Linked DNA regions of Neurospora crassa OR74A. The protein of the gene in region 2 purifies or fractionates together with the protein of the main gene of each other region. This does not show direct contact. Links are inferred from orthologs where the notes say so. Each region holds a gene or a part of one and is shown on either strand. Other genes may lie near its edges. The genes, in order: scon-3 and cul-1.

What was found.
Region 1: the proteins of cul-1 (region 2) and scon-3 purify together in Schizosaccharomyces pombe (affinity purification with western blotting; 5 studies listed by BioGRID, with this or other methods). This does not show direct contact. The link is inferred for Neurospora crassa OR74A from reciprocal best matches to the Schizosaccharomyces pombe genes cul1 and skp1.

The regions. Positions count from the first base shown.
Region 1 is NC_026503.1:4,146,552-4,153,445, forward strand, and holds scon-3 (sulfur control-3 protein), read right to left. Parts: upstream 4,309-6,894; 5' UTR 4,102-4,308; exon of another isoform or gene 3,946-4,101; 5' UTR 3,937-3,945; coding exon 3,864-3,936; intron 3,783-3,863; coding exon 3,517-3,782; intron 3,419-3,516; coding exon 3,242-3,418; 3' UTR 2,580-3,241; downstream 1-2,579. Other genes in the region: NCU08989 (ADP-ribosylation factor 1), read right to left, coding at 1-165, 236-358; NCU08990 (60S ribosomal protein L39), read left to right, coding at 1,123-1,128, 1,347-1,447, 1,662-1,710. UniProt on the Schizosaccharomyces pombe protein: Required for cig2 degradation in the G2 and M phases of the cell cycle. Together with pof6, essential for septum processing and cell separation.
Region 2 is NC_026504.1:5,760,268-5,767,604, forward strand, and holds cul-1 (Cullin 1), read right to left. Parts: upstream 4,424-7,337; 5' UTR 3,792-4,423; coding exon 3,721-3,791; intron 3,651-3,720; coding exon 3,581-3,650; intron 3,521-3,580; coding exon 3,504-3,520; intron 3,440-3,503; coding exon 3,348-3,439; intron 3,284-3,347; coding exon 1,392-3,283; intron 1,330-1,391; coding exon 1,141-1,329; 3' UTR 790-1,140; downstream 1-789. Other genes in the region: NCU05203 (hypothetical protein), read right to left, coding at 5,405-6,501, 6,607-6,721. UniProt on the Schizosaccharomyces pombe protein: Core component of multiple cullin-RING-based SCF (SKP1-CUL1-F-box protein) E3 ubiquitin-protein ligase complexes, which mediate the ubiquitination of target proteins.

The DNA.
Region 1 (6,894 bases), on a different chromosome or scaffold from region 2:
GTCAACAACGAATATTACCGCCGCCGTGTTCGCATAGTAGCACCTCCAGTACGGGCGGATGCTAGTCTGACCACCCAGATCCCACACATTGAAGTTGAGATTCTTGTATGTGACTGATTCGACGTTGAAACCGATTGTTGGTATCGTGGTTACTACCTCGCCAATCTACAACATGTTGTCAGCTCTCCGAACTGTGCGCGCTTCCGTTCGTCAGCTTTTCAACAGGTGGGCCTACCTTGAGCCTGTATAGTAGTGTTGTCTTTCCGGCATTATCGAGGCCCAATATCAGAATGCGGATCTCCTTCTTTGTCCAAAAGAGGTTGGACAGGCTAGACAGCCATGACATGCTCTGACCCATCTTTGCGTGTTGGCTAGTGCCCCGGAAGACTGAGAGCGCGTTGAGTTCGTAGGAGTGTGATGATTGAGGCAGTTGATAATTAGACGGATGAGGAGAGGATTTGACCAGGCAAGGCGATTCCTTGATACAGATCGGGCTCTAACGTGTCGGATCGGGCCGTACTAGTCGATGGAAATGATGACGGCGAGTAGTGTATTATCGAGGAGGCAGCGAACGGAAGCGCGGTCAGCCCAGCTGGTATCTTTCGGATGCTCCCGTGCGCACGGTTGAAGACAGGATAAGCGAGGGTTTGTTGCGCCGTGGTATTGCGAAAAAAAAAAGTGTTTTGGGTTAGGTTGCTTCAAGATGCTCCTCTCGTTGTCATAGAGAGGCCGTCGCTCAATGCCGCCAAAGAGCTCCTTTGATCGTGCCGGCACTCAGGGGTCCCGGGAGGCAAGGCCGCCCCAAGCGCCCAGCCCAACTGCAAACATCCCGGCAATCGATTGGCAGCGAGACGGCACCGTGGAAACCTCCGATAGCCGCTTCTCGTGGCTCGTGCGCCTCCCTTCTGGACCCAAATGGACCTTCTGTCCGGTCAGAGAGCGGACTCCAAGAGTGAATGAGCCTGTGCCACAAGTACGAGCCACAGACACACACGTGACTCAGCCACATGCGCACTTTCGGGCCCTAGTGTTCTGCTTGGTTTTTGAAAGCCCACACCAAATATTCTAACCCACCTCATCGACACCAGCCAAATCGACCGGTAACTCGACAACACCGTCAAAATGCCGGTACGTAACGTCCCACCATGTTGAGCATAGAGAATGCTCGGAATCGCTCTGCTGTCGAATTTTTGGCCGTCCTGCTATGCCAGAAACGGCAGCGACACGGAATTCCCAAAATGATGATCGCAGAGCGATTGATTGAAGCATGGAGGAGGGGTCCATGACTTCACCTGCTCGAACGACGGCAAGACAAGTTATGCTGACGAGGTGCATCGCGAAAACAGAGCCACAAGACCTTCCGTGTCAAGCAGAAGCTTGCTAAGGCCCAGAAGCAGAACAGGCCTATCCCCCAGTGGATTCGCCTCCGCACTGGCAACACCATCCGGTACATATCACCATAAGCGCCCATTGCTGTCGCGTTCAGCCAGAGGAGAGGGAGAGGGATGGATAGTGACGGGGATGGTGGTGAGGGAAGCTGGAAAACAAACCAGCTGCCTCGGCTGTACCCGGCGCAACATGCCCTCTCGCGAGCTTTCTGCACTCAAGAACGCATGGCGACTGCTTCATCATGACGCTGGATGCTAACAAGAGACAACTAGCTACAACGCCAAGCGTCGCCACTGGCGCAAGACCCGTCTCGGCCTCTAAATGCTCTCACGATTCTTCCATATTCCACCCCCAACGATGGTCTTCTTTTCCTGGTTGCTCTGATCCACCTCCATTTTTCGAAAACTGGAGCTTGGGAATGCGACCTATGACGGCAACCTTCTTCTCTCGGCCTTTGTCCTACGAAATTAAACCGATAACGAAATCTTCCCGACCTCCCGCTACGGAGTTGTTTTGCTAGGGCGAAGTCACCGATCACCAGCAAGCACGAAGGAGAAGCGGGCAAGGGCAACCAGGAAGCAAATACCGGAAGATGATGTGATCACAACCAAGTTCTGGCTCGGCGGCGGTCGGTTCTCAGCTGTGTTCTTTCGGCGGGGGGAAATATCCTGGAACTCGATCCTTGTTTTGGGGGAACGTAAACTTTCGGAGTACTATGCTTTCACGGCAAACATTTAGAAGGACGGTTACTGGGGGAATTAGGATCTGAAATGAGAGAAAACGTGGTGCACGAGAGTTGATTCCCATATTTGTTCTACCCATGTTCTCGGAACTGTGCTACAAAATCGGTCTATGTACCATGTCGTGTGCGCATTATATCAAGGTCTGTGACACCGAGGGGGCTTGATCAAAAGACGTGGGCAATGTCCAAATCAGCCCGCCTACGTTCCATCAACGACTTCTGTACCCTTGGCTTGTATAAAGCGAGTAAAAATGAGCCATGATATACAACTTGGGTAAGCTCCCTCCTAGTCTCTCTGCAATCTGGACCATTAGTATGTTGTTTGTGTGCATGGGCAACTCCATGCCATCCTTGCGCCTGGCCATGGTTGAGTTCAAAACGCCAAATTGTCAGTGAAAAGGGCGGTTTCTGTACCTACCTGTTTTACCGGGAGCGCTCTAGCATGGAACAATGGAGGGTAGTGTGGATGTTGGCTGACTTTTCTTTCCCCTACTCTAAGGCCCATTTCTTCCTGGTGACTCCGCGCCTTGAACCATGAATAGCTGCCACGAAACAGAGGGTCGTTGTTGCTATCATTAGACTACAGTTCACATGATGGGCGTATTAAGCGAATACGAGGTGCCAATATGTAGAGTATGTTGGTGGTAAAGGGGGCCATCATGGCAACAACACGGAACAGAATCGTGACGACGTTGTCGGCCTTTACGGTGAGGACGTTCTCAGACACGTAAGGACCTGATTCACAAACTGTATCATCATAAGAAAACCCTCGATTCAGCCTAAGAAAACAAGGAGCCGTAGAAAAAAGCTAGAGAACAACGCCTCTAAACGCCTGCCAACGCAAAGGTACGATCGAACGTACTGAGTGGAAGAGCTTCGTTTGTGGCCCTCCCAGGAATGCCCAAACCGTATCACGTCGTCGTCGAAATGCTGTCGATAACACGAGATGTGTTTGATATCCATCTCCCAACATAACAGCTCTCCCCATATCCATCAAACTCGGCTAAAGTGTGCGTTCCGGTAGACGAAGCACAGGGGTAACCTCTGTCGTTGGCAGACGGTGATCCCGGCGTTGCAAAGTGACTTGACGTGGAAACTGGTCTTGATCGGCTAACGGTCTTCCGCCCATTCGTTCTCGCGGCGAATCTGCTCCTCCTCCTCTGGAGTGAAATCATTTGTGATATTGAACGTCTTTCGAATCTCCTCAGGGGACTTGCCCTTGATCATGTTGGCAACGGTCTTGCATCCAACATCAAGGAGGGGCTTGATGTCCATGTAGTTGGCAGCCTGGATGAGGAATATGTTAGCATGATCTGACCCTGCAGAACCCGAGTGATGTTTGCATATCAAGTAGCATCGGCGGGTAGAACGAGGGAGAAACCTACGAGAATGATCTCGAAGAGCATCTCCTGGTCAACCTGCATGAACTTCTGGTCCCATTCGTCGATCTCCGTGCTCTTCTTACGGCTGTCGTTCTCGTCCTCGGTAGTCTGGGGCGGGTCCTTGCGGTGGTGCTCGCACCACTCGACAACCTTTCGGAGGACAGGCTCGTTGACGTTTGGTAGGGGAATAGCCTCGTTCATAACAGCCTCGTCGCCCAAATCCTCAATCAGGTTCTTGATGAGAAGGGATCGCTCGGCAACAACACGATCTGTGTTTGACGCCAGTTAGTCGGCTGCAGTCGCAGGGAAAGAAAAGGAGACAGGCCGGGTGGCGGGGTGATTCTACTCACCGACGGTGATGATTTGGCCATCGTTGCTCTGGAGAGATACCTTCTGGAGGGCACGTTCGTCGTTCTCCGCCATGTTGAATGTCTGTAGTCGTAGTCTTGACGTTAGAAGATACGTCGATGGATGTTGATGGGTTGAGTTGGCTGTCTATGTGATTGATGCTGGTGGTGTAAATGATGCAGAGAGGGGATAGTTCAATTGTGGGGGAAAAAGTGGGAGACGGTGTTGTCATATAGTTACCTGTTTGCGCAAATTCAAGCTCAAATGTAAAAGTGACCTTGCTCTGAGTTGCAGGAGGTTTGGCAATAATGAGAGAAGGAACGCACGCGGTGTGATTAACTGGCTGCAGTGCGTGGTTCTTATGGTTTCCCCGTGAAAGGTTGCCTGTAGTTTGCTTGGGCTAGTGATGAAAGTACAGACGGAGGTCCGCGTGAGTGCCCGTTGGCGGGCGCAGTCGGTCCTTCCAACAAACGAATCGCCTCTGCCTTCATTTTGTGGAGCCCGCTGCACGCAGTCCAATTGCGCGCACGTAAAGTGCGTGCATAGACCACCTAGCAATCCTGGCGCGGCCCCTCAGCTCGTCAGCCTTCTTGGGTTGAAATATAATGGGGTTGGGTGGTCAGTGCCCAGGCCCTGCCTGGAGAGACGGATGGACTTGCTCCAACACGGAAGACGCAGAAACGCTCTGGAGAGAGAACCTGACCGTTCACGTGCCGTTCCATGTACTAACCTTTGGCACCACGCAGCTCCCATCAACGGAACGATGGGACATTTGCACACCAGTGATTAGATGTAGTATTTTGAGTCACGAAGAGACGATGTGGGGACCGTCGTTGGCGTGATCTGGGGACATTCGAAGCTACAGATGTCTTCATGCTTGCAATATACACAAAGCATTGCATTGGATAGTAAAAATAATCAAAGACCGGCACATTCCACGTACACACGAATTAGGTTCATTGACAGCTGACTACATGCGGTTTCCCACACGGGGACTATGCGTTTTTCCAGATGCTTTATATTCACTATGTATGTTCCGGCTTAGGATGATACGCCCGCACGCCCGGTAGATTTTACCCACGCTTGTAAGTTGGATGTCGGGATGTCAATAGCTTCAGTTGGAAAAGCTCCTAGATGAAGTATATACATGATGGACAACTACATAATGGTACCCAAAATTGTCCTCTGCTACTCTGGCTTTTGTTGCTATCTTGCATCATTGATACGGATTGTCAAGTAAAGGAATGCAGCTTGAATGTGACAAAAGCTGCGGTACCTCCCGTCCAACGAGCACAGAAAATCAAACTTCCGTGGGAGGAAGGACAAGGGGTCAACATGAGGGCCTATCAATATTCAAGGCCGCTTTGCTGGAGATTTATTTCACACTAACAGACCAGGACATCTTTTGCTTACCATCTGTCCGTATCGCAGTATGATGTACATTCAGATCACGAAGGCGAAATGTCAAGATTCCAAAGCTGTGTCCCGGCGCGAATATAGGTACAAATAAAGCTGTACATACATACTATGTAACTCGTCATTCATCCATGGTCCGGCTCGCGCAGATCGACCAGTTGCTGCACCCGTGCGGGAGGAAATTACCAAAGTACCTAGACTCGCGCCAACGACGCCAACGAGCCTGCCGACTGGCCCGAATGCGGAGGCGGGCTATAGACAGACTACCCCTTCTCCCTATATCTAGACTACTTAACCACTTAGGGCATGGTTCTAAGGCATCTGATCTATATTCCCATTTGCTAACATCCTACAGTCAGAACTAGGCCAAAGTCTGTTAACCACAGCCGGTCATTTTCGAAAATTCTTCCAAGAAATAGTTGGTCACCTTTCTAGTCATAAGGCGATGCACTTTCACCATATACACTCCCTCCAAAAGAAAAAAAAAAAAAAAGATAGCCTTACGCCGGGCCAGATGCAAGATTACAGCCAAGCGAACATTTCAACATCCCTAGATATTACTACGGTCCAAATGTCATATATTGGAATGCGTCTTCCTTCCTACCTAAAGACTGAGGATTTAGTGCACTTTAACCGATTGCGAACCTTATTTTTTGTACGGCGGAAAAAGGCTCAGAAGCCTTGCCCAAAGCGGTTAAGTAGTCTAGATATAGGGAAGGGGGGTAGTCTGTCTATAGCCCGCCTCCCGAATGCGGACGGACAACTGCGTGGGGAATCTGGAGATGTCCTCACCCCACCTAATTTGAGCTTCAAGAATTCCAGAAGCCTTCCTTTCCGATCGCAGCAAGCAAGTCCGAAGCTTGTCAAGATTCAAGCAATAGTACCTGCAGGGGCTCGCCGCGAAAAGTCGCTCATCACTAGGTACCTACCTTCACATATGACCCTGCCGTCCAGGAAAAGTTGAACTCTCAGCTGCTTGCTTCCTTCGAAACTCGTGAATACTTTCATCTCAAAGGGCCTTGCGAGACATGATCGCTCGTTCCTTCACTGGAGAACACCTGGACGCCGGCTGACGAGAGAGGCGTGATGCTTTGTACTAAGTAGTGCGGATGGTGACACCATGAAGCTGGATTAGGTGCCCCTGGTTACAGCGATGGTAGCGTACAGGAGAATTGCGGGAAAGGCGCGTTTGCATGATTCAAACGGACGGTCGGATCCAATTCTTTAGCGTGCCTGAGGGATGCTGACCATCAACCCCCCTGTTCGGAGCTGTTCGCGGACAGGGTTCGCTCCTACGCAGTAAAGGTAGAGGTACCTGAGATCTGGCACGATGCCACCGTCCACTCCCGGTCCCATGGGCAATTGGGCATTCCCTTCTCACGAATGTTACAGGCCCATCCCTTCCAGGTTCCTTTCTGATTACCACGCCCAAAGATTCTCCTCGTCGCTTTCGGGTTATGTTTGAGCGCGTTCTCTCCCCGACACGCCATCATGCCGTTATTTTAATCACAGCGACTTCCCTCCTCAACATTTCCATCCGGTGATGCCCATTTAGCTTCCCGCGAGTTCTAGTAGTGCCTCGAACGGCTGCGTGCGCCCCAAAAACGGATGCTCACA
Region 2 (7,337 bases):
ACGAATCCGAGAAGACACTACCTACCTACCTAGACTAGTCTAGGTGACTGATTGACACATGGAATGGAGCGAGCGGAAAGGCTCCGAGGAAAGAAAGAAAGGGAGGAAGAACGTAACATGGCGACTTTCCCACCTCATAATACCTAGGTAGGTACCTAGGTAGGTAGGTACCCAACACCCAGCAGCAGCAGCGCTCACCAAGGGGCAGTAACTGTGTAAGGTACCTAGTCAAATAATCCGGTAATCAACTTGTCCACCAACTATCTTGGCTACTTACCCAAAGTCCAGTCACCTCAGTTGTCGTTGAGTTGCAGTATACCTAGGGACAGCTTCCATCATCATGCTTGAAGTTACAAAGTCACTACTTAGTTATCGGTTTAGGTAGGTAGAGGTAGTTAGTGTACAAACACCAAGGCTCGAGCAAGGTTCGTTCATTCCCTTCCCTGAGTGAGAGTCTGGGCAGTTTCTAAAACAACCAAAGTGATCTAGAGGTAGGTACCTACCTACCTTGGGATTTACCGCAGTGAGTGCATACCGTAAGTTACCTCTAGTCAGTGTTGTGGCTACCGTACATGGAGGTATCTGTACCAACATAGCTACTATATAGAAGGCAGCATAGAAGTATCGCTTCATAGCCTGGCTTCGTTGGGTCGGGTAAAGTGAAGATTCGTTTCTTCTATTACTACCTACTACCTAACACGGTTATGTTTTCAGTCTTCACCGGCGTCAAACAACTTGAATCACTTCTACAAAGACCAAATAGAAGCACATGCAGACAGGGACTCATAATGGGGTAATAGTAAGTATGTGTGATCTGTAATGGTATTTGTCATTAACTCTTTGTCCTTCCCCTTCCCAAATCCTTCTGCTAATCTCTATTCTTCTTCTTCTCAACTTCTTCAACCTTCCAGCACACCCTCTCTCTCGCTTGAGATCACAAACTAACAAACAAAGCACGCTGGTTGTTCAATACCGGTATGTGTGAATTCTATCGAGGCTAGTTAATTCGTACTTTTTCCCGCTTGATCATTGTTAATTTGTTTACCCCGCACGTTGTCTCTTCTGGTGATAACCGCTTCAGTACCCAGACTCCGAGGTTGTTGTATCTGTGGTTGGTCCTACCACAGCATCAGAGACCACTTAGGCAAGATACCCAAGCTCATCATCCTCCAACCGCTCCAGGTACTCTTTATCGAGCAAGATCTCAATGCACTTCTTGATGTCGCCAATCTTGGGCATGAATCGTGCCTTAATCTGGTTGATGGTTTCCGAGACAAGCTGCTGGTGCTTCATCTTCTTGCGCGCCTTCATGATACGGACGATAGCGGACTGTGTGGTTTCTGCGTTAGCTTTCTAATCAACACGCTTACTGGGTGTAGGGGGTCACACACCTGCAACAGCAACTTGCGATCCTCCTCGATCGTCTTGTTCGTCTCCGCCTCCTCCTGCTTGGTCTCACTCTTCATGCCCACATTCAAATTGATGCGATACTTCTTGTTCTTGAAGTCGTAGTTGAGCGAAAACGTCGCTCCCGGTCCAATCTTGCCACCTTCTCCACCCTCCGCGGTAAGAACCTTGGCCTTGACCAATATGCCTAGGGCGCCTTCAAGCACGTCCGCGTTGAGTTGAGTGATGCTCGCAAGCTCCTCGAACGTGTACTGGTCCTTCTCGTTGAAAAGCAGTAAGATGGCCATCTGGTACGCCGACACGCTAAAGATATAGGGCATCTTAGCGCCCTTCATATAATTCGCCTTGATGTCGCCCTTGCACAGCTGCCACAGCCAAGTGAGCTTGCGGCCTTCGTGCTTGTTCTTGTAGAAGCGGGTGAACCGATCGCAGTCGGCCGAGATCTCGGCGGGCGCAACAAAGCTGGTGTTTGGCGGAACGAGCGGCCAGAAACCGGTGCCGAGGATAGAGTACGTCGAGTCGAGCGGCTTGCCGTCCATGTTGAGGGAGGCGACGTGCTCCTTGAAGCCTGTGTTGAGATCCTTGGAGATCTGCATGTCCTGGAACATGCGTTGCAACTTGTTGGTGTATTCGAAGCCGCAGGCCTCCTTGAGCTTGGAAATCATCGAGGTCTCGGCATCGTCCGAGTTGGAGTTGCTGTGTACGAGGCGGCGCGCCAGCATGCGTGAGTAGAACTTTTGAAACACGTCCTTGTCCTGGATGTACTTGAACACAGTCATAATCTGCGTCAGCGTGTTCTCGAGCTCCGCCTCCTCCACTCCGGTGCTGCTCTTGCGGAGAAGCACGTCCGTGTACTTGGCCAGCAGTTCCGGTGACTTGTTGGAGCCCGATTTGCAGACCTCGTTCCGGTTCACAAACTCCTTGCACGCGTTGTCTAGAGATCTGGTGAAGTCAGGCTCCTTGTTGAAAGCGCGCTCAACTAACCCCTGGTACTGAGTGTGGATCTCAAGCAGAGCGTCGACGTAGACCTTGGGCTCCAGCTTGTCGGCGTCTGCAGCCACCTTGGCAACAGCCGCCAAACCAGCCTTGCGAACATGGGCCTCGAAACGAGTCCGCAGAGGCTCCAGACCGTCGGGAATGCGAGAAAGGAGGCTGTACATCCGCCTCATGTCGTCCTCTCGGTTGTTGTCCAGCAGGGCCTGGAATTCTTCACGCAACAGGGTAGAGTGCTCCGCGATGAGGGCCTGGTTGCAAGTCCTCTTCAGATGTAGGGCAATATCTGGATGCAGATACATGCGTACGCGCTCCTCCTCCTCAGCCAGGCGAGCCTCGGCCTTCTTCATGTACTCGACAACGCTATTCTCGGCCACGAACTGTTTGCTTTCGTTTTGGTAGAAGACTTTGGTCGCCTCCAGGAACGGCCTTTCAAAGTGGTACCTATACACTTCCAGCGTCGTCTTGGTGTTGTCGCCTTCGTCCATACCGAGTGAGACGAAGCTATCGACCACCTGTTTGATCTGGGTGTACTCGATGGTTTCACCGAGGCGTTGCCTTTCCACTAGCTTGAGAACGGCGTCCATGACTTTCTTAGAGACAGCCTGGAACAACACGTCACGCCACTGAACAAGGTGGAGCGTGTAGACGTCGTAAATGTTCTTTTTCCCTTCATCCATCTCGCGCTTAACCCAGTGTCTATTCAGGTACTTGAAGAGATGGTGGATATACTTGGCGGCGTTGGTGTAGCGTTGCCATTCGCGAATGTAAAAAGCTAACAAGGCCTCGTCCTTGTGAGCCTCCGCTTCGGAGACTAGGTGCTTAAGGTGGTCTGTCAGGTAGTTGGCCAGCTTCTTGTACAAGTCCTCACCAAGCAGATGGGCTGGTGCATGTTAGTCCTCTTGCTCAATCTGTTTAACGGGCAAATGCAGGGAAAGACAACATACCCCCTCTCTGGGCCCCGATTCCCGGAAGGTGATTACTCGGACTGCTGCTACCGCCGTTGGCCTTCTGCGATGTGCAGAAGTTGTGCACCGCCCTATGCCGCAGTTAGTACCATGTTGAAGGAGTGTATAGACAAATAGGGCATCCGTCCAACTAACGTGTAGATTCCCATGTACTACAAACGGCGTGTGTTAGCGGGGGGTAACGTGGACGGATGGGCGAGGAAGAAACATACACTGCTCATGTCGAGGCCTTCTTGGAGGTTGGTCATGATCTTGTTGATACTAGACTGCAAGTATGGCCAACTGATTGGCAGAGGGTCAGTACGGCTGTTTGGAGGCAGAGGGGCCAGCAGCGAAGAGAGCGAAAACATACGTGCTGTCGATACCATCACTGCCAGAAGGCTGCTGCCCGTACGCCCCCATCATCATGGTTGCCGGAGGCATGTTTGTTGTGTCTATGTGTATGTTCGTTTGAAGAGCGATCGTGCGCCGGGAATCGAAGAAAGAATGCGATGTTGGGAATAATATGCCGGCTGACAAGTGGTGGTGGACGAGGGGCGTAATCCGTGAGAAAACTCAAGCTGACCAGGTCGTGTTGGGTCGCGTGTGTTCGTCCAGAGGCTGTCGGGGGGGCAAGAACGAGTTTGATCTGGGCGACCGGTCGTTCTTGAGGTTGGAAGCGCGTTGACTGCGACCGGTGACGAAGGGTAAATGGACTGGGTGGCAGCCAGAGGCGTAGAAGTAGAAGCTCGTCCTGAGCGATGAGGCGCGCCACAGGTCTGGAAGGTCGGATGGATGGCGGGGGTCACCACGTCCTTAGGTCCGTCGGTGTCGGCTGGGAGAAGGACCGTGACCGTGAGCAGACAGACAGACGGGTTGATCGGATATCGGGTCGGGTGAAGAAAGGATTGTTCCCTTGGAGTGACGGGTGTGAGGTCGCAGCCTAGAGGTGAGGTGTAGAGGTAGGTACCTTGGCTGGTTGTTGTTGTTGTTGTTGTTGTTGTTGTGGTGGTGTTCTGACAGGTTTCAATGTTCTGTTCTGAGTGTAGGTAATCAAGTTGAAGAGTGGAGTTTCCAGTTTCCAGATTGGCCCCCCGAGGCTGCTGCTGCTGCTGCTGCTGCCGTGGTCGATGCCCGGATGATAGAGCGATGCCGTCGTTCGTTGACGGTTTTCAGGCTGCAGCGGCGTGGCAGGCATCGATTGACACTGACAGCAAGCAGCATGGAGGCTCCAGAGCAGTGGCCCCCCCGCCAGTAAACGTCCACCGCGAACACGCAAAATTGTGGGGAACCAACCATGGACGGGAAAGTGGCGGGGATGGAGACGACCTATGCCCTGCGATGCGGGACGGGCGACCATCTAGTGTACATTCCGTCATTACCGGTACATCTAACAATGGCGGCTAACAGATCTGATGAAGGTATGTACCTTATATTGATATAATACCATGTTTCTTCTCAATATGAATACAATAACCGGAACTGAAGTAATAAAATATGGGGATGGCACATATGTACAGCTGGCGGGGCATTTTACATACAAGAAAGCAGAACAGTGACAACGATGTAGCTACTTGTAGGTAGAGGTAGGTCAGCCGTTTACAGCCCCTTTAACCGCTAATGTTGTAGAAGGACACCATTGGTGGCCAGAATTCGATTAAACTGCATGTATTTTTCTGCTGGGAGCTCACGGCAGGCAATATGATATCTCCTTACCATGTCAAATCTTTCGCTATCCGTTCCCCTTTTCATGTCTCATAATGCATATACAATCGAGTAATAATCATCACCATCCTTGCTAATATCAACATCACCAACATTACCAACTGATCAAACACTATTTGTTACCGCTGTATGCTAATTTGCTAATCCAAAAACCCCACCCAAAAGAACACAGAGGCAGAACCGTGCTGAGGTATCGACAAAGTACGAGAAAATGCAAGTAAGTATGCTCCCATGCGGGTGGTTGGAGACGTTCGACGTGATTCATCTCCCCCGCTTTGTTTTTCTTTCCCTCTCAATATCCTTCGGGGCTTGACCGCCCATTATAACCGTCATTACCTTCCCCTCTGAGTCTCCAAATCATCTCCGCCTCCCAGCTTTACTACCAGCCTAAACACATTGACCGTAAAGTTGGTCAACCAGAAAAAAAGCCCAAGCAGCTGAAACGCGGCCAGCGCCTGGCTGAAATGGTCCGTGAAGCGATCTTGACTGTTATGATAAACCAACACCTCATATGCCAACGCCGTGCTGGCCGCCTTGAACACGATGAAAAACACATCCATCAGCACCAACCCGCTCTTTTGCGTCACCGGCCTTAGTCCCAATGGGCGGCCCGTGTATTCGTCCCAGAGCATGTACCCGATATAGGGAATCGCTATCGTGTCCACCGCAATCGCCACTATCGCTTGAGTCCGCTCTGACGACCCGGGCGAGATCTGTCTTATCAGGGAAAGCTCTTGGTCGACGTATCCTTCGGAATTGGAGGCTGAATGCAGGGCTCGTAATCGAGCGAGAATCTGATTCTGTAGTTCTTGCTGGTTGGAGCGCCGCCGACCTTCGAGCTGGTAGATACGAATCGCAAGGGCGAGGGCACAGATGGAGGTGATGAGTACGAGGGACCGGAAGAGTAACGGCACCAAGGGATGGCGGAGGACGTGCTGCCAGAGTCGCTTGTACAAGGCCGACCTCCTCCCGGTGCGAGACTTGTAAACGTCTTCGGATTCGGGCAGGTGCACGGGCAAATTCAAGTTTGGTTGCAGCTTCTCGAGTGTTTGGTAGTCGACCACTTCCGACTGCTCATTCGGCATGTGGCCCCACTGCGACGAGTGGATGAATTCGGACCAGGGCGAGTTGGACGTGTAGTGCGCATTCCGGTGGAGAATGACGGGTTCGTCCGTTCGGAGATGGTCCCATTTCCGGCCGCGCTCCATGCCGTCCCCGCGTCTCAGAATCCGCCGCAGTTTCATCTTGGAATCGTTCCTCCGCTCTAGCCCATCTGGTTCGTACACGAATCCATCTTTCGATACCCTTCGTGGTTCGGTTGGCGTGCCGTTGTGTTGTGGCTGGACTGTGCGTGGGGGTGGTCGGTTCAAGATCCCCCCCTGGCCGGTGGACGGTTGTCCATATCTCTCTTCATACGAGTCGATCCATGCTACATGACACGAGTTAGAATTCAGAGCAACAGAACCACATATTCTGATTTATTATTGTGAGAAAGATGATGTTGGGAAGTTGATGTCGGGTGGGGGATCCATACGAGGCAGCGTCCTTGGCTTGGGACGCAAAGGAGGAAGCAATGTGTCACCATCAGTGTTATCGGAAGAAGGAGTGGACTGGTTCGAGCGTGGAGGAGACGGATTCGCGGCCGTCATGCTGGCACTCAACACTACTTTTTTTTGTTTGTTGTTTGCCGAGCCCGTTGGGGGGTGGCTGATGGCGGGCGGCTTGGAACTAGAGTCTCGGATGTTCCAGTCGTAATGGGTAAGTTGTAGTAGCAAGTAGTAGTGTTGACGTGACGATGGGTAGAGGTAGCTCGGGATGTGCAGTCGAAGTCACTCCGGATCGGCGGCAGAGGTATTATTGTAGGTGGGGTGGGTCAGGTTACTGCACCCCTCAGGTTATCGGAGTGGCCGGGCAGCGGCAGCAGCAGCAGCCGCGCATCAGAAACGGGAATTGGCGGCAAGATGATCCGTCTTTTTATCACGCAGTTATCGGAGGGCAACGGATTGAAACCCCAAAAGGCGAGGAGGAACTGGAGGACGAAGAGTTGGCGTGGGATGGAAGTGGTAGTGCCAGTGGCGGTGCATAGCGGTGTGGTTTAGCAATTGATGTTAGTGATAGGTCAAGATGCTTCAATCTCCTGGCATTCCACTTCCACTTTGCACAAGTCCCGATCCGTTCTTCGTTCCTGTTGGCGATTCCAGGTCTCGTCGGGGGGTTAGTCGACTAGGGGGTGTTTTTGCTTTCTGGTCGCAGGGCGTCAACCTT